2 linked regions of the Alligator mississippiensis genome follow. Each later gene encodes a partner of the first gene's protein in a complex. Links are inferred from orthologs where the notes say so. Each region holds a gene or a part of one and is shown on either strand. Other genes may lie near its edges. The genes, in order: CNNM2 and PTP4A1.

Region 1 (11,858 bases):
GTCATTCATGTAAGTCTCAAGTTAAAAATGTAGATGGCTGATGGGAAAACCTCAAAGAATCAATGCGGTGTCAGCAGTCAATAGACTTGCACACATTTAGAGGTGATTTTTTGAATGCTAGAAACAAAAAGAGCCTAGATCTAGTGTGCGCCCTGTGTCGGAGCATGATGGGAAAATCATAAATAGGTAGAAAAGGTGGAAGTGGAGATTTCTGTTCTGCAAAGCAACAGAAAGCAAGCAAGGACAAAGCGAAGGGACAGATTCCGCCTCCCCGGCCCTCCCAAGCGGATCTGGGGCTCTTTTAACACAGAGACTAAAAATGCAAGCCACGGCAGTCAACAGGGTTTGCAGGAAAGCAGGTCTGTCAGATGAACCCGTTGTCCAGGTCCCGCCAGGATTACCCGTCCAGCCGAGAAAGGCGACTGGTTATTGTATCCTTGGGTTTCTCTGGTTAAAGGCCACGGTGCACTGAAGTGGTGTAAAACAGCCTGATGCAAGGCAAAGCATTGGGGAGGGTGTGCCAAGGGTCTGCCCGCCCCACATCCCCAGCACTCGGCGAGGGATATTCCTGAGCAGGTCCGGCCCCACCTGCTCCTGGCTCATACGCGATCCTCAAAGGGACAAGAAATGGGACTATCGGAAGTGCCCTCACCTCTGTGCCCAGCTTTATGGGGTTTGCTGCTGGGGCATTGCCCCCGCTTCTTCACGCGGGAATACTGACGGTGTCTGGCGTGTTAAGGGATTCATCTGGCTTGGCTAGAGAGGGCTGAGAGGGGGCAGGATCGCTGCGCACAGGGGCTTACAAAAGATAGCGAGAGCGGAGGGCTGGGGCTTGCCAGCCTTCCTAACCAGGCTGGGCTGGATGTGACCTCCTGGGGTCCCTTCCTCCCTCGTTGTCTGTGCTTCTAGGATCTCAGGGTCCTGCAGTCCAACCCTCTCGGACAGACGCCCACCCAGCCTCTGCTGCAAACCTCCAGCAAAGGCGAGTCCACAGCTCCCTCCGGCGACTCGGTGCCTGTCCTACTGCACTGACGACTGGGAAGGGTTTTCCTGAGATCGGGTTTTCAAGCCGCTTTGCTGCGGCTTCAGCCCGCTGCCCTGCATGCTACCCTCTGTCGCTCCATCCTTTCGAAGGATGCTGATGGTACCCCTAATTAGAAGGGGCTTATAGCGGGCTAATTCGGAGGGAAGGGACTCAAGAGTCAAAGCTTCCCTCCAGTTTCCAAGGTTCATTGAATACATCCAGCAAACGCACTAAGTGATCCCAGTCCTGTCCTGGGATCCTGCGGTTACAGCGGCTTGTCCGAGCGCAGCGGGGGAACCGAGTCGGTGAAGAGAGTGAGGACGAGGAAGAGGGGAGAAATCCCCTGCCAAAATGAATGTATCCCTGATTACCAGGGCAGCGAGGGAGGTCGGAAGCTGGGCCTGTCTCTTGGTGAAGGATGCGGATGGGGTATTATCGTTCCCTACCAAACACGGTCCCAAATCGAGGGAACGCACGGGGCACACCAACAGTTCGCCACAGGCCAAATGGAGCAAGGCTTTCGCTGCAGGCTGTCCCGTAGCGCCTGCCTGCGTGCACCGTCTTACCTGCCGTACGTGGAAGCCAAACCATGGCTGCTTAGCCCAGATGATGTGCAGAAACTCCTTGCCTCCTGCGTACCTGGGGATACGCTGTTTGTGTAGCCATCCCCTTAAACACAAGCTATGGGGCATGGTGCTGATGTGAACCAGAGCCCTTGACTGTATGTGAGAGGCAGCAGTTAGTCCCTGGGCGCCTCCGGGACCTGGGCTCGGGGCCTTGCTCTCTGTGCATAGCCAAGCAAGACACACCCCAGCCACAGCTGCAGCAAGGTCCCAGCGGGGCACGGGGAGGGTGGGACGACTCCGTGCTGTTCCTGCTTGTACCGAGTTCTCGCTGTTGCAATAAAGCTTTTTCCCATGCTTTTGATCAAGCCCAGGGACCTATTTTGTTTGGGGCCAGCACAGTTCCCACGTGCACGTGGATCAAGTAGTGGAGGACGTCGCACCGAAGCGCTTACAACGTGCTTTGCCCTGCCAGAGCTCCTCAGCTCAGCTGGGTTGAACTGAGCTAGAGCTGGAAGGAAACTTGAGGTGCGGTGCCTTGGGAGGAGAGGATTTCACGCTGTCTCCGTCCGATGGGGTGAGCGGAAGGGGTAGCGCGTTGCTGGCTTGCTGCCCCTGTCCGTGCGTGTGGGGCAGGCAGGTTTGGACGCCCAGGGGATAACGGGAGACTTTCCCGACTTGCTTCGGTGTCTGGAGACAGAGTAGAGAGCGTGGGCCTCTGAGTGCAGCATGTGCCAGCCCCAGGCATCTGGGCCGGAGAGGCGATGGAGCTGGAGTCAGGCTGCAGAGCCAGGGGCAAGCTGGCGGATGATTGCCTGTTGGCGTGCAGGTCCCCCCGTTCACGATGTTGGGAGGCTGAAGGGCCTGGGGCTGTCAGAGGGGGAATGGAGGTAGGTCGCACTGGGTGCCAGCGTGAGCTGGTCTCAGCTGCTGTCTAGCTAGGGCACATGCATCAGAAGATGCATCCGATAACAAGATCAAGGCTCGGGGCCTAAGATTCCCCTTCTCCTCCCCTGCAAACAGACGCCCCAGTCGTATCCCCCTCCTGCTGTTATTCGCAAGGACTTGCTCAAATGCCGGCACCCTATCCTGGCACATCTACTGCAATTAGTTCTTCTTATCAAAGGAGATCTTCAGGGTGCGAATGAAAGAGCGGATTTAAGCTTTTCCCCACCTGTGAGCCACTTCATTAAAAAGCCATGAAACCCTGCCCGAGCCTTTCAGATGCCCCAGCAGCTCCAGCCGGGGGTGGTCCCCCATCCCAGCATGCATACGTGAAAAGGCCACTGCTAAATGCCAGCGAATTTGCATGACTTTGTTTCCACGGGCTCTTTGCATTTTCGGGAGAACGGAGAGGAAGTGCTAACAGGACTTTATCCGTCTTGCATTGTCACCTCCGGCATTGCGCTAGCGGCTCCTCCGCTGGGAATGGAGGTGACGGCTCTCCGGTTGGAGCTCTTTGGGGCCACGAGCCTGCTGCACATCTCAGAAACTGTCACGAGATCGTTACCCAGAAAGCAAACCTGGCCGCTCAGCTTCTCTCTTAGGAGGTGCCGTAGCTGTGCTCCTCAAAGCGCCCCGGCACCATTCACCCCCTTCCCAGGGCGCCGGGTGCTTGGGGCGCTGCTCGTCTAATTCAGAGATACGGGAGTAGCCAGCAGGCTGGAGCGATTCGGGGTGCTGCAGACTTGCTGTGGCATCGCGGTTAAGTTATTTAAGCTTTCTGTGCCTCTTTTTTTTTTAAATGGAGATAACGACACTTACCTCCTCCGCAGGGGGAATTGCAAAATGTACTGCTCTCAGGAAACAGGAGCATCTTCAGTGGGTTTAGCACATGCTTTTAAAGGCTCTCCTGAATCAGGGCCTAAAAGTATTTTCATAGCATCATTGAAAATGAGGGTGGGAGGGAGCTCAGGAGATCACACCTAGTCCAACCCCTGCTCCAAGCAGGACCGGCCCCAACTGCATCATCCCAGCCAAGGCTTTGTCTACCTGGGTCTTAAACACCTCCAAGGATGGAGACTGCACCACTGCTCTGGGGAGCCTGTTTCAGTGCTTCACCGCCCTCCTCATGGGAAAGTTTTTCCTAATATCAAAACTTAACTTCCCTTGCTGCAACCAGAGACCGTTGCTCCTTGTTCTGGCACCTGCACTGAGACCAGCCCAGCTCCGTCCTCTTTGCAGCCCCCCTGCAGGGAGGTGAAGGCTGCTAGTCAATCCCCCTCGGTCTTCTCTTCTGCAGACTCAATCAGCCCAGTTCCCTCAGCCTCTCCTCACCAGTCCTGTCCCTCAGCCCACAACCATTTTCACTGTCCTCCACTGGACTCTTTCCAACGTGTCCACATCCTTTCTGTCGTGGGGGCCACAGCTGGATACAGGACTCCAGATGTGGCCTCCCCGGTGCTGAATAGAGGGAAGCATCACTGCCCTCCATCTGCGGGCAATGCTTCTACCATTTCCAGACAATGAGGGTGGAAGGGAGCTCAGGAGGTCACATCTAGTCCAACCCCTGCTCCAAGCAGGACCGGCCCCAACTGCATCATCCCAGCCAGGGCTTTGTCTAGCTGGGTCTTCAAAACCTCCAAGGATGGAGAGTGCACCACCTCTCTGGGTAGCTTGTCCCAGTGCTTCACCACCCTCCTCGTGAGATTTTCCTAATATCCAACCTCATCTTCCCTTGCTGCAGCTTGAGCCCATTGCTCCTTGTCCTGCCATCTGCCTCCCGCCCCGAGAGCAGCCCAGCTCCATCCTCTTTGTAATCACCCTTCCGGTCATTAAAGGCTGCTCTCAAATCCCCCCCAGTCTCTTCTGCAGACTAGCTATGACTGCATGCAGAGTGACCCCAGCAGAGAGCACGAGGAGGCTCCGAGTGTTCCCTAGTGGGAGATACAAAGAGCTCGTCCCATTGATGGTAATTCTTGGCATATAACTCCCGGCCTAATTTGACGAGGGAGGGACCCTGGGCAGCTGAAGCCTGGGCCCTGCGCTAACTAGCCTCCATCAGAGGAGCGGCTCTCATCAATATTAAACGCTCGGCCCGCAGGAGCGCAATAGGCAAAGAAATGTCATGTTGGGTGCGGGGGGCCGCGCGCGCAGCAGGGAGGGGAGGGGGCCGCAGCAGTCGGGAGCCCGGAGGTTAATTTTTAATCGCCTCATTGTCATGACACGCACACGCGGGCCCTGCTAGGTTTGTAATAGAGCTGCAAAGTCAATCATGACGGCCAGGGAGGGCTGCTTCTCGGAAGAAACTCATCCCTGAGAGATGGCTGGCTCCCAAACGCAACCTTTCCTGTTTCTGCCGCTGGACATTGGTGCTCCGTACTCCAGCAGAGTCTTTCCCTGCGGCTCTGTACGCCCCTCGCAAAGTAAGCCTTCCGACCCCCTTGTCGCTGCATCGTTTGCTCACGGAGCTGGCGCTGCTTAGCAAGAGGAGAGGAGCGCTGGTACCATGAGAGCCTCGCTCCTCTGGAGCCAGGCGCAACGGCAAGGCCGGGCAATGCAATAGGTGGCTCCAGGACTGCAAAGCAAACTGCTCCCGTGCGGCTCATTGCCACGGCCTCCCTTAAGCCTCCATCCCCCTCTATACGGCTTTGGACGTCCCGTCATCTGTGTTTTCCCTGCTGTTCAAACCACAGAGGGGTCTTGAACAGCAAAACCCCTTCAGTGGAGCAAAGGATGAGAAGTTATCTGACAGTTTGAATGAGTTGTAGGGCAGCTGTCCTGACGGGAGAGCAGTGATGAGCAATGACATGGGGGATAGAGAAGACCGAGGGGGATCGAATAGCAGCCTTCACCTCCCTGCAGGGGGGCTGCAAAGAGGATGGAGCTGGGCTGGTCTCAGTGGGGGCAGATACAGGACAAGGAGCAATGGGCTCAGGCTGCAGCAAGGGAAGTTGAGGTTGGATATTAGGAAAAACTTTCTTACTAGGAGGGTGGTGAAGCACTGGAACAGGTTACCCAGAGAGGTGGTGGCGTCTCCAACCTTGGAGGTGTTGAAGACCTGGGTAGACTTGTCTGGGATGCTGTAGTCGGAGCTGGTCCTGCTCTGAGCAGGGGTTGGACGAGATGTGACCTCCTGAACTCCCTTCCAGCCTCGTTTTCTCTGAGTCTAAGACACCGAGGGGGAGGCTGGGACAGGAGATGAGCCCACCGCATTGGGGTTTGGACTGGAGCTGATCTGCCCCCAAAGTGAACGGCTTCGGTGCAAGCTCCCGCGCCTGGCCCTCTGCCAGGGCACGTCGGCAACGCAGGCGGCATCTGAAGTCTCATCTGCTGCCAGAACAAATGTTAAACCTCAGCCCCTGGAAACAACGCACGGCTGGATGTTACCCAGGCAGTCACGTGTAGCCAGTGTCCTCGGAAAATAACGTTTCCTATGATCTACTCGATTCAAGCCGACGCTGCATCCAGGGACCGAGCGCCAGCGCAAATTCAGGATTTCCTGCTTAACTTCCCTCTCGCCAGCAGCGCTTGGAGGAAATAACTCGCACTTCACCAGAAACATACTTACGTGCGGACGTAAATATATATATATATATATATATATATATACGTACACCTCAACATATGCGAACTATTCCAATAGGCACATAGCTTTAAATACCCAAGTGCACATTTGAATATGTTAAAGTCCATAGTTGAGCATGCAAATGCATGCTTAAAGTGTATCTTTAAATATATTTAAGTGTAAATATTTAAGCATGTATTTCAATACATTTAAACATATATTTCAATACATGCATACATCTATACACACACATGTGTGTATATACATGCGTATATATACATATATACACATATATGTGTATATATATATCCATATATATCCATATATTAGACCAACTTCAATAGTTGGAAAACAATTTTTAAGCAACCTTTATATATATATATATATATATATATATATATATATACACACACACACACACACATATATATACACACATACACACACACATATATATACACACACACACACACGTACGTGTGTGTGTGTGTGTGTGTGTGTGTGTGTATATATATATAAAGGTTGCTTAAAAATTGTTCTCCAGCTGCTGACGCCGGTGTGCTGAAAGCTGTGGGACTCGCCCGCACAGCCGTGTTTCTCTGTAGATAAAAAACTATTTTTGCAAAAAAACATGAAAAGAAAAAAGTCGCCTTTCGGCTGGGAGGGGTGGGGGCGGGGCTTCCCGCGGGCCCGCCCCCCGAGCGCGCCCCGAGCGCGGCCGCCAGGTGGAGCCGCGGCTCCTTCCCGGAGCGCAGCACCGCCCCCTTCCCCCCCCCCCCCGCCCCCGGCCTTGTCCCCCGTCAGCCATTGGCCGGCCCCGCCCTCCCGCCGCCAGCGCGGCGCGGCCATTGGCTGCGCCGCCTGCGGCCCCACACGCGGAGTCACGCGCGGCGGGGGCGGGGCCGGCTTGCGGCCATTGGCGGCTTGCGGCGGCGGCTCCGCCCCCCGGCGTCGGGGTGGGCTGGGCGGCGCGCGGGGCCCGGCAGTCGGCGCCCGTCAGCGGCCGCAGGCGGGCGGGCGGGCGGGCAGGAGCTGCAGCGCCGCGCCGCGCGGGGGGAGGGGGCCCGAGCGAGGATGCCGCAGCGGCCGCCGCAGCCGCAGCAGCCGCCCCGCGACGCCCGGCCGCGGCGGGGCTGAGCCCGGAGTCAAGATGGCGCCGGGCCGCAGGGCGGGGGGCGGCCGGGGGGCGCTGCTGCCGCTGCCGCTGCCGCTCCCGCTGCTGCCGCTGCTGCTGCTGGGCGGGCACTGCCTGGGCGAGCAGCTCGCGCCCGGCGCCCTGGCCTCCCCCGCCGCCAGCGCCGCCGGCCCTGAGGAGACGGTGATCATCGGGCTGCGGCTGGAGGACACGGACGACGTGTCGTTCATGGAGGGCGGCGCGCTGCGCGTGAGCGAGCGCACGCGGGTGAAGCTGCGGGTCTACGGGCAGAACATCAACAACGAGACGTGGTCGCGCATCGCCTTCACCGAGCACGAGCGGCGGCACCGCGGCGCGGCGGCGCCGGGGGCCGGCCCGGGGCCGGGTGGCGGCAGCGGGAGCGACGGCGGTGGCGGTGCCGCCGGCGGCCCCCCGGCCCCGCAGCGCTGCGGCATCCGCACGTCGGACATCATCATCCTGCCGCGCATCCTGCAGACCCGCCGCACGTCGGGCATCATCGAGATCGAGATCAAGCCCCTGCGCAAGACGGAGAAGAGCAAGTCGTACTACCTGTGCACCTCGGTGGCGGCGCCGCCCGGCGCGCTGGGCGCCGCCGAGGGGCCGGGCTGGACGGAGACGACGTGGATCTACCACGACGGCGAGGACACTAAGATGATCGTGGGCGAGGAGAAGAAGTTCCTGCTGCCCTTCTGGCTGCAGGTGATCTTCATCTCGCTGCTGCTGTGCCTCTCGGGCATGTTCAGCGGGCTCAACCTGGGGCTCATGGCGCTGGACCCCATGGAGCTGCGCATCGTGCAGAACTGCGGCACGGACAAGGAGAAGAACTACGCCAAGCGCATCGAGCCCGTGCGGCGCCAGGGCAACTACCTGCTGTGCTCGCTGCTGCTGGGCAATGTGCTGGTCAACACCACCCTCACCATCCTGCTGGACGACATCGCCGGCTCGGGGCTGGTGGCCGTGGTGGTGTCCACCATCGGCATCGTCATCTTCGGCGAGATCGTGCCGCAGGCCATCTGCTCGCGGCACGGCTTAGCCGTGGGCGCCAACACCATTTTCCTCACCAAGTTCTTCATGATGATGACCTTCCCGGCCTCCTACCCGGTCAGCAAGCTGCTGGACTGCGTGCTGGGCCAGGAGATCGGCACGGTCTACAACCGGGAGAAGCTGCTGGAGATGCTGCGGGTCACCGACCCCTACAACGACCTGGTGAAGGAGGAGCTCAACATCATCCAAGGGGCGCTGGAGCTGCGCACCAAGACGGTGGAGGACGTGATGACGCCCCTGCGGGACTGCTTCATGATCGCCGCCGAGGCCGTGCTGGACTTCAACACCATGTCGGAGATCATGGAGAGCGGCTACACCCGCATCCCCGTCTTCGAGGGTGACCGCTCCAACATCGTGGACCTGCTCTTTGTCAAGGACCTGGCCTTCGTGGACCCTGACGACTGCACCCCGCTCAAAACCATCACCCGCTTCTACAACCACCCGCTGCACTTTGTCTTCAACGACACTAAGCTCGATGCCATGCTGGAGGAGTTCAAGAAAGGTGGGGACCGCCGCCGTGCATCGGAGGGGCGGGGGGCATGAGGGGCGGCCCGGTTACAATGTGTGGCCGAGCTGGCCTAAGAAAAGAGGGCTGCTACCTTTTTTGGGGAGCTCTTTCACTCTGCCGTCTCCACTGGAAGTAGAAGTGGAGCAATTTGGAGATAAGCACCTGTCTGTCGCCTGATGTGTGCACCTGGTGATGGCATGTGTCTGTTTCCTGTCAAGCCGGGGGTGCATGTGTGTGAATGCAGTCTTTTTTGGCTGAATGTTTTTTTGTGTATCTGTATTCATCCGCCGGCAGGTACTGCCATGGGTCTGCACCCTCCGTGGTGGCATCTCCAGCCCTGTAGGCTGGTCGTATGTCGGAAGAGGGGCGGGTGGGTGATATAGGTCACGAGCGTCTTGCAGGCCGTTTGCTCGCGCACATGCACGTGCTGAGATCAACAAGGCTTTTGAATTCCCGTCACCAGTGCAGCCGGGCTCGCTCTGCCTGGTGCATGCTTGTGTGCAGTTCGCGGCTGTCCTCATTGATGCTTCAGATCTGTAGCTCGTGAATAGCTTTGGGGCTTTTTTTTTCTCCCTCCTCCTTAACCATGGGCCTTACAGTTCACTTCTAACTGATTTGCTAATTACACGTGCCGGCGTTACAGACCTTCCCCTCTCCTCTCGTTTTTGCCCTGGCAACCACAAGCTGAGCCACATGTCGATATGGTTTTTTCTGTATCTGTGCACTCCCTGCTGTGTGGAGTAGCATGCGCTTTGTTGCCTAACCAAAACTGGACTGTGGTTTTTGTGATGGTTAGCCTGGGGCTTTTCAGTTTTTCCTTGGTTGGGGCGTAAGGGGAAGGGTGGGAGGGTCTCCTGGTAGACGCCTCTTAACTTCTCATTGTGCGTTTTTTATTGTTGCAAGCAATCGTTCAATAACTCTAAAACCTGTTCCTCTCTTTCAGCTGCAGCACGCAGGGAAACCTTTTCAAGGGGTTGTATGCAAGGGGTGGGAAGATGCTCCAACCTTGCCCATTTTGTGGGGTCCCGTGCTGGGAGACTCGGAGTAGTCTGCGGTGGGGGAAGTTTATCATGTCCTCGTTCAAAGTACTGTAGAAAAGTTCAGTCCCCGTGAGAGCCTTCCTGAAGGAGGAGATCTTTACCATTGTATTAACACCACAGCCAGGTAAATGGGGAGTATTTGAGTTAACCTTTTCTCAAGGTAACTCTGACACTCGGGTGAACTTTGTAAACTGCACTCAAGAGTTCTTCTGTGCAATAAAATTTGTAGGCTGTGTTTGATCTGCACGCTAGGCTTTGAAGGGCTCTCTCTGGTTGACCCACTACTAATTTAACGGTGTTTCTGTGGTTCAAGGCACTTGAAGGCTTCAAGTTCTGAACCTCATCTTGATTGATAAAAAGGATTGTGCTGTTTTGGTTGGGAAAGTAAGCATGTTAACCTTGTCTACCTGATACAGCGATTGGAAACCTTACAGCCTACTTCCTACCCCATTTCGGAGCTGTGGAAATGGGAAGAGAGGCTGAAACCCAAGGTTGTCTTCTGATGGTTTTATTGCCAGTGTGGCCACAAGTTTTTGTGAGCTCCAGGAAAGTGGATGACCTACTGTTTAGCTTTGACTAGATAGGTTTTATAATATTGATTTCCCTTTGTCCTTGGCAGTGGCATTATTTCCTAGAAGGCTTCTCAGTCTTCTTTAGCTACCTTCACTCGGGGCATCTGGTCCTCTCGCTGTACGGGTAGGGCTGTTGGTGTGAGCAGTCATAGAGGAGTGAAAATGGTGATGAATGCTCAGCCTCTCTTGCTGAGGAGGTGTAGTCCCACTCCAGGCTGCTGCAAGCCAGGTTGGTTATTGGGAATTGGAATTGCACTGGCACGTTTGAGCCCGACGTTGCTCGCTGTGATTCGGGAAGCTTGTGAATCTGCTCTGTAACCTGGAGAGCAGACCAGAGGTTGTTTTGCTGTTGTATGATACGAGGAGTTGTCTGTCCAGGGAAGCTGGCCAGCATAGCTATTCCAGAACGATTGCCCTGTGCAAGCGCTCCAATCTGGAGTAGCATCCACGTGGGGGAAGGTAAACTGGCTGAACGGCACCGGATGGCTTCCCGGAGAGCTGTCTTGGCAGATGGCTCTGCGTAGACAAGCCGATAGGTTAGCAGAGATCTCTTGCTTGAAATGGCCATTGGAGAAGAGCTGCCCTGAAGCACCAGCTCTGTCCTGCACCGGTGTCCTTTAAGAAGTGCAGATAGGTTGGAGATAAACTGCTTCCTTTGCGTCCTTTGAAACTAGCATAAATCACTGATAACTGGCCCGGCCTGGCATAGCACAGCGGGTTTTGCAAGAGTCCCTTAGACTCCTTGAGGAATCCTCTCCCAGGGTGACCTTGTGAAATTCCCACGAGACGGTTTCCCCAGGCCGGTACGATTTAACTGTATCCTGGTGGCTAGCATAACGATGACCAGGAATAAGCCTAGGTCTCCATTCCCCCAGGGTGAGGAACACAATTCCTCACCGTGTCGCAGTGCTTCCACACACCGAGTGTTAAAACCATTAAAGAATGGCGTGTCTTCTATGGAAAATGTTAGCCCAGCAGGCCGGGTTTTAAAGCTCACTTCTGATATGGGAAGTGCTTGTGCCTAAGCTGAACGTGGAATGGAAATGTCGACGAAAAGGTTAAACTGATCAGCCCCAGTAGGCGATGCGAGCCTGGGTTGTGTCGGAAGAAGAGCGGATGACTTCGTGCTCCGTCTGCCCTCTGGTCCGTGCAGTGGGGCAGGAGGTGATGGCGGGTTTTTCATCAATCTGTGGGAGTTGGACTGTCATTAAAAACGGCAACAAAGAAAGCTGCCTAATGGCACAGAAATCAAACCAAGGGGACTGCAGTGCCCCTAGACTGTCCTTTAATCGCCTACAGTACAAACAGAGCTTCCTTACCAAGCGGTATGTGGAAGGCAAGCTCCTCCCTTCAAGGACTGTTTTTAAAAGCTTGTGAAAGTGGAGCAGTTTTTAGCCCTGTCAACAAGACCTTGAATAACCACCGGCGCTGTCGGATCCCCTTG
Region 2 (12,269 bases), on another chromosome or scaffold:
TCCTGGTTCTTCTCCCTTTAGTCTCTCTGATCATTTGAAGCAATTGTCATAAAATACAGCTTTGAGTTCCTTTCCTCTGTTTCCATCCTAAAACTCCTCTGGTTTAGCTTCTACTATTTTTACATCACACACCTGTTCCCAAATTCATTAGCAGTGTGCTTAGCTACTAAATCTTGGAACCAGAACTTCATCCTCATCTTCCTTGTCTTGCAGGGTGCCTGAGACACAGTTGAGCCTACTCATGACTTCTCATTCTCCCCCACATGCTTAATGGTGCTCAGCATGTCCTTAGGAAAATCTTCAACACCCTCTTCTAGCTATATGGGACTCCCACAAAGCTCTGCTGTCAGCCCATTTTCCATCACATGTAAACACAGTTATCTCCCTGCATGTGAGTCTAGGTCTGGAGTACGCGGGTAGATCCATTTTGCCTTGGACATCTCACAGATGCAGTTTGACTTGAGGGATATATAGCTAAATCATATGAATTCAATTGTATGAATCTATGTAAAGACAAAACTCCTAGTTTACTCCCTTTTCCATGGGAAATGGAAAACCTGGATCCCTGAGCCTAGCGAAAAAGAGGTTGCAGTAAAATTCCATCTCTCTGCATCCAGTTCAAGAATATTGCTCAGGCTTTTGTAATTTGTTGTTTCTCTTGTACTTCAAATAAATCCAGTCCTTTATTTGCATTGCGTCCCTAGATCATCCTTTTCAGTAATAGCAAACTAACTGCTTACTCTCAAAGTCTTTTGTGGCATATTCTCACTTAACTTGTTGGTTATCTGTTAGTATTGAATGGGAAGAGGTAGTTTGCAGAAGGCAGGATAGATGTACACCTTACAGACCAGGGGTGTCCAACCTTTTGAATGTGGGGCCAGATCATGAACTTTTTATCACCCAGTGGGCTGGCGAACCATATTCAAAGACCTCCCAGGAAGCGGTATCACATCTTCCCCCCCCCCCCCCCAAACGAAACTACAGTGTTTACTTTCATTTCCCATCGCAGCACCTCGGGCCTCAGAAAACACCTTGGAGGGCCGCATGTTGGACAAGCCTGTTATAGACTGACTAAATCAGATATTACAAGCTTTCTTAAGTAGCTGCTTACTTCATGAAATGAAGGGACTGCAAGAAGTAGAGCTTCTGAATAGACAGCTGTGATTAGTATACAGAAGGTAGGCAAAAGAAGGGATCACTGTTGGGAGAGGTGGATGGGAGAGAGGAAAAACAAATTAGTTAACCCAGGGACATAGGGGCTAAAGAAATTCAAGTAATGGGATAAGAATCCTGTAGTTTTGATTTAGATTAGGGAAGTCCCTAGTGGCAGCCCATGGGCTGCATATAGATCAGGGGCGGGCAGTTATTTCAGGCGGAGGGCTGCTTACTGGGTTTTAGTAAGATGTTGAAGGCTGCATTTCCCTCTCCAGTCCAGGGAAGCAGGAACAGCCCCACAGTCCCAGGCACCTGCCTCTGCTAGGCAGGGGCTTCTGGTTGGGGGGCTGGGGCTGGGCAGGCCATGCTGCTGGGTCCTGCTGCCAGCTTTCCCGGGGTACTACTGCCCCTGGCTCCTGTCATCTTTGACAGGCAGCCAGGAGCAAATAAATATTAATTTTCTAAAAATTTTAGGGGCCCCGTGGGCCAGATCGAATGGCCTGGTGGGCCAGATCCAGCCCCCAAGCTGTATTTTGCACACTCCTGATATAGATAGACCTCAGAGGATCAGCTTTGGGGACTTAAACTTCTCTGCATGGTTGTCGTTGCTCCCACCCTGCTGCTGTTCCTGCTGCAGCATCTGAGTTCTTTTGGTGATCCCACCTTCATCTTGCTGTTTTCTTACACTGGCTCCTGTAGCAGGAGGGGGCAAGGGTGCTGTTGTTGCATGCATGGTGGGGCCAGCTGCTTCTGCTGCATGTGAGATGGGTCCTTACAGTGGGTGCTCCCCCCCAGCTGCCCAGAAGTTGGACTGCTCTGGTTAGATTATACTTAATACAATCCAGTCTGTGGGTGTCTTGTTGTTGTTCAGTGACTTTTTTTTTTTTCCATTCAAGCTTTTTAAAGTTTTGCTTGAGAATAACTACTCTGAGGTCATAGCTAGAATGTCCAAGGAGGTTAAAATGTTGATGGGGGTCACTTCATTTTTGATCAGACAGAGCTACCAATCTGCAATATACATTTGTTATCTTTCTGAGCAAACTCCTCTAACCTTTATACTTTCTCCTGAGGCTTCTCTGCTAATGGAAATAAAATAGTAGTTTTAGCAAATAAGGGTTTAGTATCTGACTGGCAAATGGATAGTGATACTGACAAAACACTAACTGGTGTTGCACTTGTTCAGTATCCTATTCACAAGAGTGAACCTTCTAATCATGTCAGTTTATGCTTTAGGAAGGTTGGTGAGTCGCTTCAGAAGCAGAGACTGGCGTTCCTGGGAGAAAACACGCATTTTGTGGAAAAGTGGTGTAGATGGAGTGAAACTTCTCCCTGTTATCTCTTCGCATATGCTATAGTCTCAAATCTAAAGAGGGGTGCTAAAAACGGACTTTTTTTTGTTTTACAGTGGTAACACTTAATTTTATTCAGCAGTTGTAATTTATTAAACGTAGCACTTTTCTAGAACTTTTTAGAATCTTAATTCAGTCTTGATTTACTAGAAGAGCATCAGAAAACAATCACTTAGGCTATATTTCTTGAGATTAGTGCAAATTATATTTATTTCATCTCCAATATCTGCAGCATTCCTCTTACTGTTTAAAAGGACCAGCCACATAGTCACAGTGGCCATTGTTGCATCAGGGAAACTGGGTGAAGGCCAAGAAATAAAGCTATGTTCAAGTTGGGTGGAACCTCACATTTTTATATTAACTGTAAATATGTAATTTGAAACTCTTGAGAACCATCCAAGGCAACACTAAAATCCCTGTTTTTACCTCATGCCCAACTGTGTGGAGGTGGATAGACTCCCTGGACTTTGATGCAGACCTCTTCCTATGTCTCCTTGCCAGAGGATGTTTTTAGTCCTTTGCATAGTAGGTGACTAGCATTGCATGCATGTTTACCCACTTCCCTGATCATAGTTCCCTATAAGTAGAACAGGGACTTCAGAATGTTACAGTGTTCATTTTGAGCATAAAATGGCTCCTTGTAGCATGAGGTATCACAATAAATCAAGTTTATAATGATTTCTTTAATGATTATTCTTATCGCTCAAGTATCTGTATCTGCATGTAAATGCTTAGAATTTCCTCAAAGCAACTTGTGATAGACTTACCAGCAATGCCTATACAGTGCAGTACCTTCATTTTTGCAACATAAAGCAGATCTAGTAAGCAGGAATAATGTTTTTATTTTATATGGGTCAGGTGGCTTAAGTAAAAAAAAAACCAAACCCCCCCCCCCCCCAAAAACCTGAATAATTACAAAATGGGGAATCAACAAAACAATTTAAATGGGAACTAGAATATTAACGTAAGCCAGAGTATCTCCTAAGCAGTAGACCTGTTGCATATTTTCACTACTAAACAATCAATATGCTTTAAAATAAGAAGGCTTTTTATTAAAAATAACTTGGCAGTAAAGAATGTGTGGGTGGCTAGACTAATAATATTTGTTAGAGCCAGGCATGTGGTGTGCAAGATTCCCCACAATGCTGACAGTGTACATCTATTATAGTGTGTGAAATTCTTGTTTCAGTTTTAGGTCTCTCCTGAGCAGATGAATTTAGTTAACTCTGTTCACGTCTTTGAAGTAGAAATAATTGATTCTACTTTTTAAATTAAGAGGTTAGAGTAAATTAGATTAAAGAGGCATTTTTTCCTTTTAGCAATTTATTCCATTTCTTGAAGACATTGCTACCAGTTAATGTTTTTAGTATACTTGAATTCCAAATACCCATTCAGAACAGGATGGACTTAGAGCGGTTAGGAAAACACCCTCTGAGCATGAAATGATCCTTGTATGGAAAACAAGTGTCATAGTATCTGTGCTTAGAGGGCAAGGCAGAGGTGTGTGAATTCTACTTAGAGAATGAAAGTTGTGTTTAAAACATGCTGCAGATATTGGAGATGAAATAAATATAATTTGCACTAATTTCAAGAAATATAGCCTAAGTGATTGTTTTCTGATGCTCTTCTAGTAAATTGAGACTGAATTAAGATTCTAAAAAGTTCTAGAAAAGTGCTACATTTAAAAAAATTACAATTGCTGAATAAAAGTTCTGTTAGAAATATTTTGGTCTTGCAACTCTTAAAATATTGTACAGGTACTCCTCACTTAACGACCGAGTTCCGTTCCTGCGACTCGGTCGTTAAGCGAATTGGTTGATAAGCGAGGAGCCGGGCTGCGAGCGCGGGAGCTGTCCGCCCAGCGGTGCTGAACCTGCGGTGCGCCGTTTCCACAATACAGGTACTCCTCACTTAACAACCTCCTGCTTGGAGTACTGACTGCTCGGAGAGCTGGTCGTAAGTCTACGCGGTCGTTAAATAGGTAGGTCGTTAAGTGAGGAGTACCTGTATTGCTAAAACAAAAATAGCATTTCTGAGTAAAAGTAAGCACTGATACCTGGAAATAAAATACTAAAGTCTGAATAGGCAGAAAACAAAATTCTAATATGATACCTTAAATTGGTGGTCTCCCACCTTTTTAAGGTGAAGATCACTTTGAAGTAAAGGACAATCTAGGATTTACCATGCCCTCACCCCCCCACTGCCCAGTAGGTCAGTCTGGGGGGTGGAAGCAGATCGAGGCCCCCATGGCTAGGGGTGAGTGGGACCCTGGCCAGACCAGGAGAGGGTCAGAGCCTGGGTGGCTCAGCTGGGGCGGGCGGGGGGAGGCTGCCACTGTTGGGGTGCGTGCAGTGGCGGGAGCTTCCCTGCATGCCTGGACAAGCCACCTGGGCTCCAACCCACCCCTGGCCCAGCCAGGGTCCCACTCACCCAGTGGTAGGAGATGCAGTGGGGGGTATTTTCCCAGTTGCCCGGCCCTGGTGGCAGGGGGCACAGCTCAGCCCAGCCACGTGCATCCTACCGCTCCTGCGTCCCAGCCATTCCCGATTGCAGAGCCTCTGACAGTTGATCTCAGTCTGAGGGGGCTTTGACTGTCAGGGGCTGACTGGTTGGTGACCACTGCCTGAAATTATATTAGATTTGTAAACATACATAAGGGGTGTATAAGTACATAAAGGGTGTGCATCAGGACCTGGGAGAATGTCTGTTCACCTGAGCGCCCCAAGGAAAAACAAGGACCAACAGTCTCAAACTCCTCCAAGACTGTTTTAGACTGGACATAAGAAAAAAAATTCTTTACTATCTGAGCCCCCAAGACCTGGAATAGACTCCCTCCAGAAGTGGTGCAAGCACCTACTCTGGACTCATTCAAGAAATGCTTGGATGCTTACCTTGCTGGGATCCTTTGGCCCTAGCTGACTTCCTGCCCCTGCGGCAGGGGGCTGGACTTGATGATCTTTGAGGTCCCTTCCAGCCCTAAAGTCTATGAAATCTACGCTGTATGCATTTTCGTTTTACTTTTTAGTAAGCGTTAATATTTTGAGCTAAGTTGTACATATACTTGGGAACAGTAGCTGAAGTAACTTTTTTTTTTTCTCTCCCTTCTTTACAGCAGTTCTGTGGTGTTCTTGGTCACACATTTATGGAGTTTCTGAAGGGCAGTGGAGACTACTGCCAGGCACAGCACGACCTCTATGCAGACAAGTGAACTGTAGAAATTCATTACTACTCCACCAAGAAGCCCCCCTAAGAGTGATTAACCAGGATAAGAAGTGTTGAATTGAAATTGGCAGCGCATTTTACAAAGGAGTTCAGACCTGGATGGGGTAAACCTCAGTGCACTGCCTTTCTTTTGCCTCAGTATTACTGGATTGAAGAATTGCTGCTTCTTGTTAGGACGTTCATTTCATTTCCCATTGCTCCCAACTTCATACTTCCAAGCACTGAGAATTTCAAGTGGAGTATAGTGAAGTAGACTTCAGTTTCTCTACATCATTTCTGTATTAGAATTTTTTAATCCTTTCATAATCTTGTTGCATGTTTTTTAACTAAATTAATATGGCCCGAATGAACCGCCCAGCTCCTGTGGAAATCACCTACAAGAACATGAGATTCCTTATCACACACAATCCAACCAATGCAACCTTAAACAAATTTATCGAGGTAAGGTCTGGACGAAATGCTTTTTTTTTTTTTTTAATTTTATTTAATACAATGCTTTTAAAACCTAGAACAGTATGTGTTTTAATAATATATTTACTAATGGGATTCAGTTCTTAAGTGCTCTTCCTGTTGACTCAGGATTTGGGTCATAGTGATTCTCGCAAGCAGTGAGACATGTTTTACAGAATTACTGTACTCATGAAAATCATTCCTCTATCAAATTGCATCAGTATATTTATTTTTTAATGAACCATAAGCATGATCATAACGGTACTATTACTGATCAACAGGTACAGGGCAGAAAGAGAATATGTAATCTAATTAAAACAACAGAACATTGACAGGATCACAGTTAACTTGCATTTATTAGGTTTTGTTAATTAATGATCGCTCAATTCTTTAGTTCTGTCATGTCTTCAGCAGCTGATTTTTACTACCGTTAATCCATAAAGATGGGGAGAGGAAAGGGCAATATATTAAGACTATCTGGTACTAATTAGATGTGACTGCAAGTATTTATTAGGTATGCAGAAGTTGTCTAAATAAAGCTAGTTTGGCCATCAGCTGTAGCAGTGGAGCTACAGTAGTTTTAGAATTCATGTGACATACACAGACGTATCTGGGACTCCAACTACGTTCATGCTGGCTGAAATCTGGCTTGGCACAAGTTCACATTTGGTACTGGAGCCATTTTAAGCCAAAATTAACTTTGAGGCGTCTAAATCTGTTGCAGTAGCATTTTTGAATAGCCTTGTAAACATGGCCTGAGATCTACTTTTGACATTTGGGTTTCCCATAGAAGCTTTCCTTTGTGCTCTTGTAGAGGAAACAAGAAAACATCCCAAAGAATCACTACACAGCAGTGGTTCCCAACCTTTTTAGACCATGGAGGGCAAGTGACTGTGGACTAGCAAACTGAAGTGACCGGCATACTGCGGAACAGCAGCCAACCCTTTTTTATTCTCAGTATAAATAAACAAAAGGTTGGCTGCCCATCTGCAGTATGCCGGTCACTTCTGGACTTCCAGTCCAGCAGCCAAACCTTTGTGGCCCGGTACCAGGCTATGGCCAGGGGTTAGAAACTTTTACTACACACCATACAGTGTGTGTCACTCGTGCCTTGCTTCAAAAGACTAATAATAATTACTATGGATTGAGTCAGACTTGTGTAGTAGGTTTTAGATATGCAAATAAGGCAATCTTACTGCAGTGTGGTAGAGTGATTGTTTAAACTAGCCAGCTTGAGTGCTGGTAGCAGTCTAGTCATGGTAGCACATAGTGTGCTGAAGCAGAGTAAATCTAGCTTGCGATGTATTTTGTGCTGCCTCAGCTGAACTGGTGTTACTCAGGCTTGGTATAGGCCAAGAGTCAGCATCGTCTTGCTGTCACAAGCCACTGCTTGCAACCCAGCTCCTGCCACAGGCTGCAAATCTCTACAACTCTGTCTGGTAATTAGTGGATGCTTAGGACAGAATGAGGCAGCCAGTAGGACTGTGGGGACACCTCTGCTTCCCTAGCTGCAGAATGCTGCCAATTCCCTGAGTTGCCACAAGCAGTAGGTTGCTAACCCCTGATGTAGACAGTCTTGTTTTGATCCTTTGCACAGGATGCTTTTGGCTGAAGAATATAAATCCCAGATCCCAAGAGTTCCTATTCATGTATTCTAATAGAGAGAGAAAGAGAGTGCCATCCTGCCTAGCTTGTGCCATAATAAGTAGATAAAGCTCTTATGCTCTTGCCTCACAAAATCATAAGAACAAGTTCTGAATAAAAATAAAGACACCCTTTACCAATTAAAGGGTTGGATGAGTCTCTGGATTGGGCTCACAGACCTGCCTCCCACATGCCAGGTCCAATGCATGTGGCACTCGCTCTTGGCTGGTCCAGTACTATGCTGTGCATAGGGACAGAATAGGCCATGGAACAGATCCTGAGTCCCGGGCTTTATGCACTGGAATGAGCTGGGGAATGTCACATGATGTGAGTTAACTCAAAAGATGCAGGGACAGCATGGTCCAAATGTGACCTGTATGCCTTATCTTTGACACCCCTCAATTAAAGCTAAGACATCCCTTCGTCTTCCGTTCCAGACACTGACTATTATGGGGGGCTAGTTAGGATTTTTCTTGAGTTTCATTTTTGTAGTGAGTGGTGCTCAAGATCCCTGTCCTGATAAGAGCCTAAATGTTAAGCTTGCCTTATTTGCAGAACACAAATATAAGACGTGACCAGCAGTAAACTGGGCAATTATACCATGTTATATAATTGCACAGGCTAGTAATGTATGCAGCTTGTCTGTTCCAAAATGCTTTAGGGTATTTTTAAAAGTAAAAATACTTACAGAATCATAATGGCAGTGATGCATTACATCTCTATTTCCATTACACTTCCAGGGGAAAAAATGTGATTTAGCATAGCTCCTAACGTGCCACACGGAATAAATAAACACAACAATGTTAAGATCCTTGTAGTAATTTGGAAGTATTCAGTGAAAAATCCTGCTAACTTGATGATCAAGTAAACTATTTTGGCAGGAGGCTCTTTGAAAGGTACAAAAAAGTAGATGACCATTTTCTTTTGCTAAAATACAGTTTGTTGTGCTCTTTTTAGAGTCATGCTTAAAGGTCCCTATCAACATTATGCCAAATGCTGATAGTTTACCTCTTGGGGATTGAGCCCCAAAATCTTTGTGCTTCCCGGGCCTCCGCTGGGGTGCATGCATCAGCAGGAGCCCTCCCCATGTGTTTGGACAAGCTACCCAGGCTTTGATCCTCCCCTGGACCAGCCAGGGCCTCATTCACCCTGTGGCAGGGGACATGGTGCGTATAGGTGGAGGAAAGGGGTGGCTAACAGGGCTTAGCTCCCATTCCTCCAGTGCAGGGTAGCAGTAGGGCTGCAAGGCAGCCCGGCTGCAGGATTCTAGTGGCTGCAGCAAGAGTAGGGAGGGGTGGCATTCGCAGCAGTGAAAGAGGGAATGAGGCAGGGGGAAGGCCCTGCACAACTGGGGCACACGCAGGACAGAGCCACAAGCGGCTTGTCCAGGGGGCTCAGGGAGGGGAGGCATGCAGCCTGGCAAGGCATGGGGGGCGTATGCCCCCAGATCTACACACGGGGCAAAGCGGGCTGGACCCAGGGCAGTGCCAGGCTCTTCCTGGTACAGCTCTTCAGTTGCACAGCTCTTGAGCCGGGCAGTGGCAGCGCTGGGAGCAGGGCTGCAGGCACCTGAAAATTTGCTGTAGCCCCCCACCGCCTGCTCCCAGTGCTGCAACTGCCAGCACCGCTGCCACCCAGCCCAAGCGCCGCACAACCAATGAATCATGCTGGGAAGAGCCTGGCTTGGCCCGGGCCCACGTGCAAATCTGGGGTCATGTGCCCCCTGTGGCCTCCATACAAGCTGTTCGTGGCTCCATCCTGCACCTGCCCTGCCTATGCAGGGCTTGTCCCTGCTCATTCCCTCACTCACCGCTGTGGTGGAGGGCAGATTGAGGGAGAGAGCAGGGCACAAGTAGGAGCGGGGGCTGGGGAAGTGGGGGTCAAGCGGAGGCCAGAGGGACAATGTGCCTTCCAGGCCTCCACTTGCCCTACCACTGGGCCCAGCCAGACCCACTCCACCCAGCCCCTACTTCTGCCTGTTCCCTGCTCCCTCCCTCACTGCTGGGCCCTCAGTCTGCCCCCACCACCCCCAGTCCTTTTCACCCACAGACTTACCTGTTGGGTGGGGTGAGTCCCCAAATAATTTTTTTCCCCTCTGCTTCAATCTGCCCCCTCCATCTCTGCCCACAGACTGACCTTGAGGGGTGGGGTGGTGTAGGATAGATCTTGGGTTGCTTTTTAATTCAAAAAGTGATCTACCCAAAGAAGTTGGAGACCACTGTACTACAGGATAAGCTTATTAGCTGCTAAAATGACAATACATTGATTTTTACTGTTTGTCTAAAATTTGTTCTTTGAAGGCTGACTGAGAGAAGTGCAGATTCCTGTGAATAGGTCATCTTTAGGGGTACTTCTTGGTCTGTAACTTAAATCTGGTCATTGAAAGAATTTGCAGCACTAGCAGTGTACTTGGACTTCAGCAGTGCCAGGAAGAGAGCACTAATTTGAAGAAACTTTTTTAGAGGTGAAATATTGAAGGCTTTTGATGTTATTTCGGTGTATGCTTGAAATCAGCATAGCAGCTGCATTCATAAAAACATTGCTTACTAGTTGGAAGACTGTTGTCTGGGTTGGAGGGAACCTTACTGAAACTTTGAAACCTATTAGTAAGCTAAAGTGTAGGAAGTACTTAGGTGTGTCCTGCTGGGAAAGCCAAATGGTAAAAGTCAGGGGAATGTAGAAAAAAATGTCTTTTTCCTCCTCAGGAACTTAAGAAGTATGGAGTTACCACAGTGGTGAGAGTATGTGAAGCCACTTATGACACAGCTCCAGTGGAAAAAGAAGGCATTCAAGTTTTGGTGAGTGATCTGAAAAATTTGCTTGGAAGTTCTTTATAGCATTATGTAGCATTTAGTAGCTCATAATGTCTTTGGTAAGGTCTCAATTTGTCTGAATTTCTAATGCATTTGTCCTAGATGTTTCTAAATGAATGTTATTTTGGAGAAAAAATGGAACCTAAGCAATTGAAATATCACTTTCCAGTTCTTTAGTTTATTATCTTGAAATCCAGTATTCTTGCATACAATACTTGTATCCTGAGCATCCTTGTAACAAAGATTTTATAGCCATCTGCAGTCTTCAATAAGAAAATTCTTCTAGATTTTCCCACCACTAAAGTTGTTTTACCTGTGCAGGTGCTTACAGTTCTTATCATTAGTTTTACTTGTACTGTGAACAGGTAACCTTTGTGTTGAGCAGCTTTACCTCTGAAAACTTGTTTTCATATTGGAAATTCAAGGCTTATCTAACCTCTTTGCTCTGAAACCCTGCGTTTCCACTTTGATAGGGAAAGCTTATTAATGGAAATGTTACTTTATCTAGGGGCTAAACTTGGCCTAATGATTTTGAGACAAATCTTATGGCAGTAGAAGTTCCCTCTTATTGGAATAGAAGTGATTCTTCTGTGTAAGTGAGAGGTAGGATTTGGGGAACCACACCACACCACACCACACCACACCACACCACTTGTATGAAGCCAGCTCATGAAACTCTCAAGGACTGTACTTACATGAATTCTTCAGCATTTCTCATGCTGATTCACTTCCTGAGTGGTTCACTGATGGGAAATGCCTCCTAGCACCAAGTAAAAGTCTTAAGTAGATCTGAGCAGTGTTATATCTGTTGAAGTGCTAGATTTCCCAGAACCCTGTGCTATACTCGTTCTTCCAGTATTGCATGACTTCAGCTTGGGTGGAATAAGTAAATGCCATGGGGTTCTGCCCACATTAGTAGATGAGAAAAGGCTCTGAGCCAGATATTAACTGTAGAAGAGACCGTTCTCTACATAAAAACTGTCAAGAAACAACCACAACATCGCTTTTTGCCACAGCTTGAAACCATGTAGCAATGACAGAAAGATTGAGAACAGCTGCTCTTGGCAGTGTCTTTTGGCACCTATACTGCCCAGTCTTGCCTGTTGAAATCCCCTAGTGTGGAGTCCAAAAGAAGCTCCTGGCCAATACAGCCACTGGAGGCGAGATGGATGTATTTTAAGTTGATAAATAAGTGTGACAGGTATGTTACATGAGCCCCTATACAGCCTCTGCTGGATACATCTGAAAACCTAGTTTCATACGTTCATGGTTAAAATGAGGCATTACTACAAGGACTGACAGAGTTTAGTTAACATTAATTAACATTAGTTTCATGTTCATTTTAAAAAAATGAGCTGACACTATGTCTCTAAAATAAATTTCTAAAACTGCTGCTTTTACTCCTAGCCCTACTGTCATTGTATGTATGATATTTAACCTCCTTAATAAAAGTTTGTATTCTGGTAAACCCTGAGCCTAGTGTTCTGGCCACTGAAATGTAACTGTCCATAAAAAGATATATGGTGCACTTTGCAGGAGAATAAAACCTGCATCTGAAGGTTTGTGAAGCTCCAGGTTAACAATTATTGAATCCCCAGAACTAATAGAATTAAAAGGAGAAACAAAGGTACTATTG

The links.
Region 2: the proteins of CNNM2 (region 1) and PTP4A1 are in contact, whole or in part, in a crystal structure (PDB 5MMZ), measured with the Mus musculus proteins. The link is inferred for Alligator mississippiensis from reciprocal best matches to the Homo sapiens genes CNNM2 and PTP4A1. Residues at the interface, in NP_291047.2 of Mus musculus: Phe526, Asp528, Val551, Asn553, Glu556, Gly557, Asp558, Pro559, Phe560, Tyr561; in NP_035330.1 of Mus musculus: Asp72, Gly73, Ala74, Gly107, Leu108, Gly109, Arg110, Arg137, Arg138, Gly139, Ala140, Phe141, Asn142, Lys144, Gln145.

The regions. Positions count from the first base shown.
Region 1 is NC_081829.1:99,035,969-99,047,826, reverse strand, and holds the start of CNNM2 (metal transporter CNNM2), read left to right. Parts: upstream 1-7,128; 5' UTR 7,129-7,244; coding exon 7,245-8,796; intron 8,797-11,858.
Region 2 is NC_081824.1:54,211,606-54,223,874, forward strand, and holds the start of PTP4A1 (protein tyrosine phosphatase type IVA 1), read left to right. Parts: upstream 1-6,060; 5' UTR 6,061-6,062; coding exon 6,063-6,167; intron 6,168-10,525; coding exon 10,526-10,618; intron 10,619-12,269. Other genes in the region: uncharacterized LOC128125822 homolog, read left to right, coding at 5,617-5,712. UniProt on the Homo sapiens protein: Protein tyrosine phosphatase which stimulates progression from G1 into S phase during mitosis. May play a role in the development and maintenance of differentiating epithelial tissues.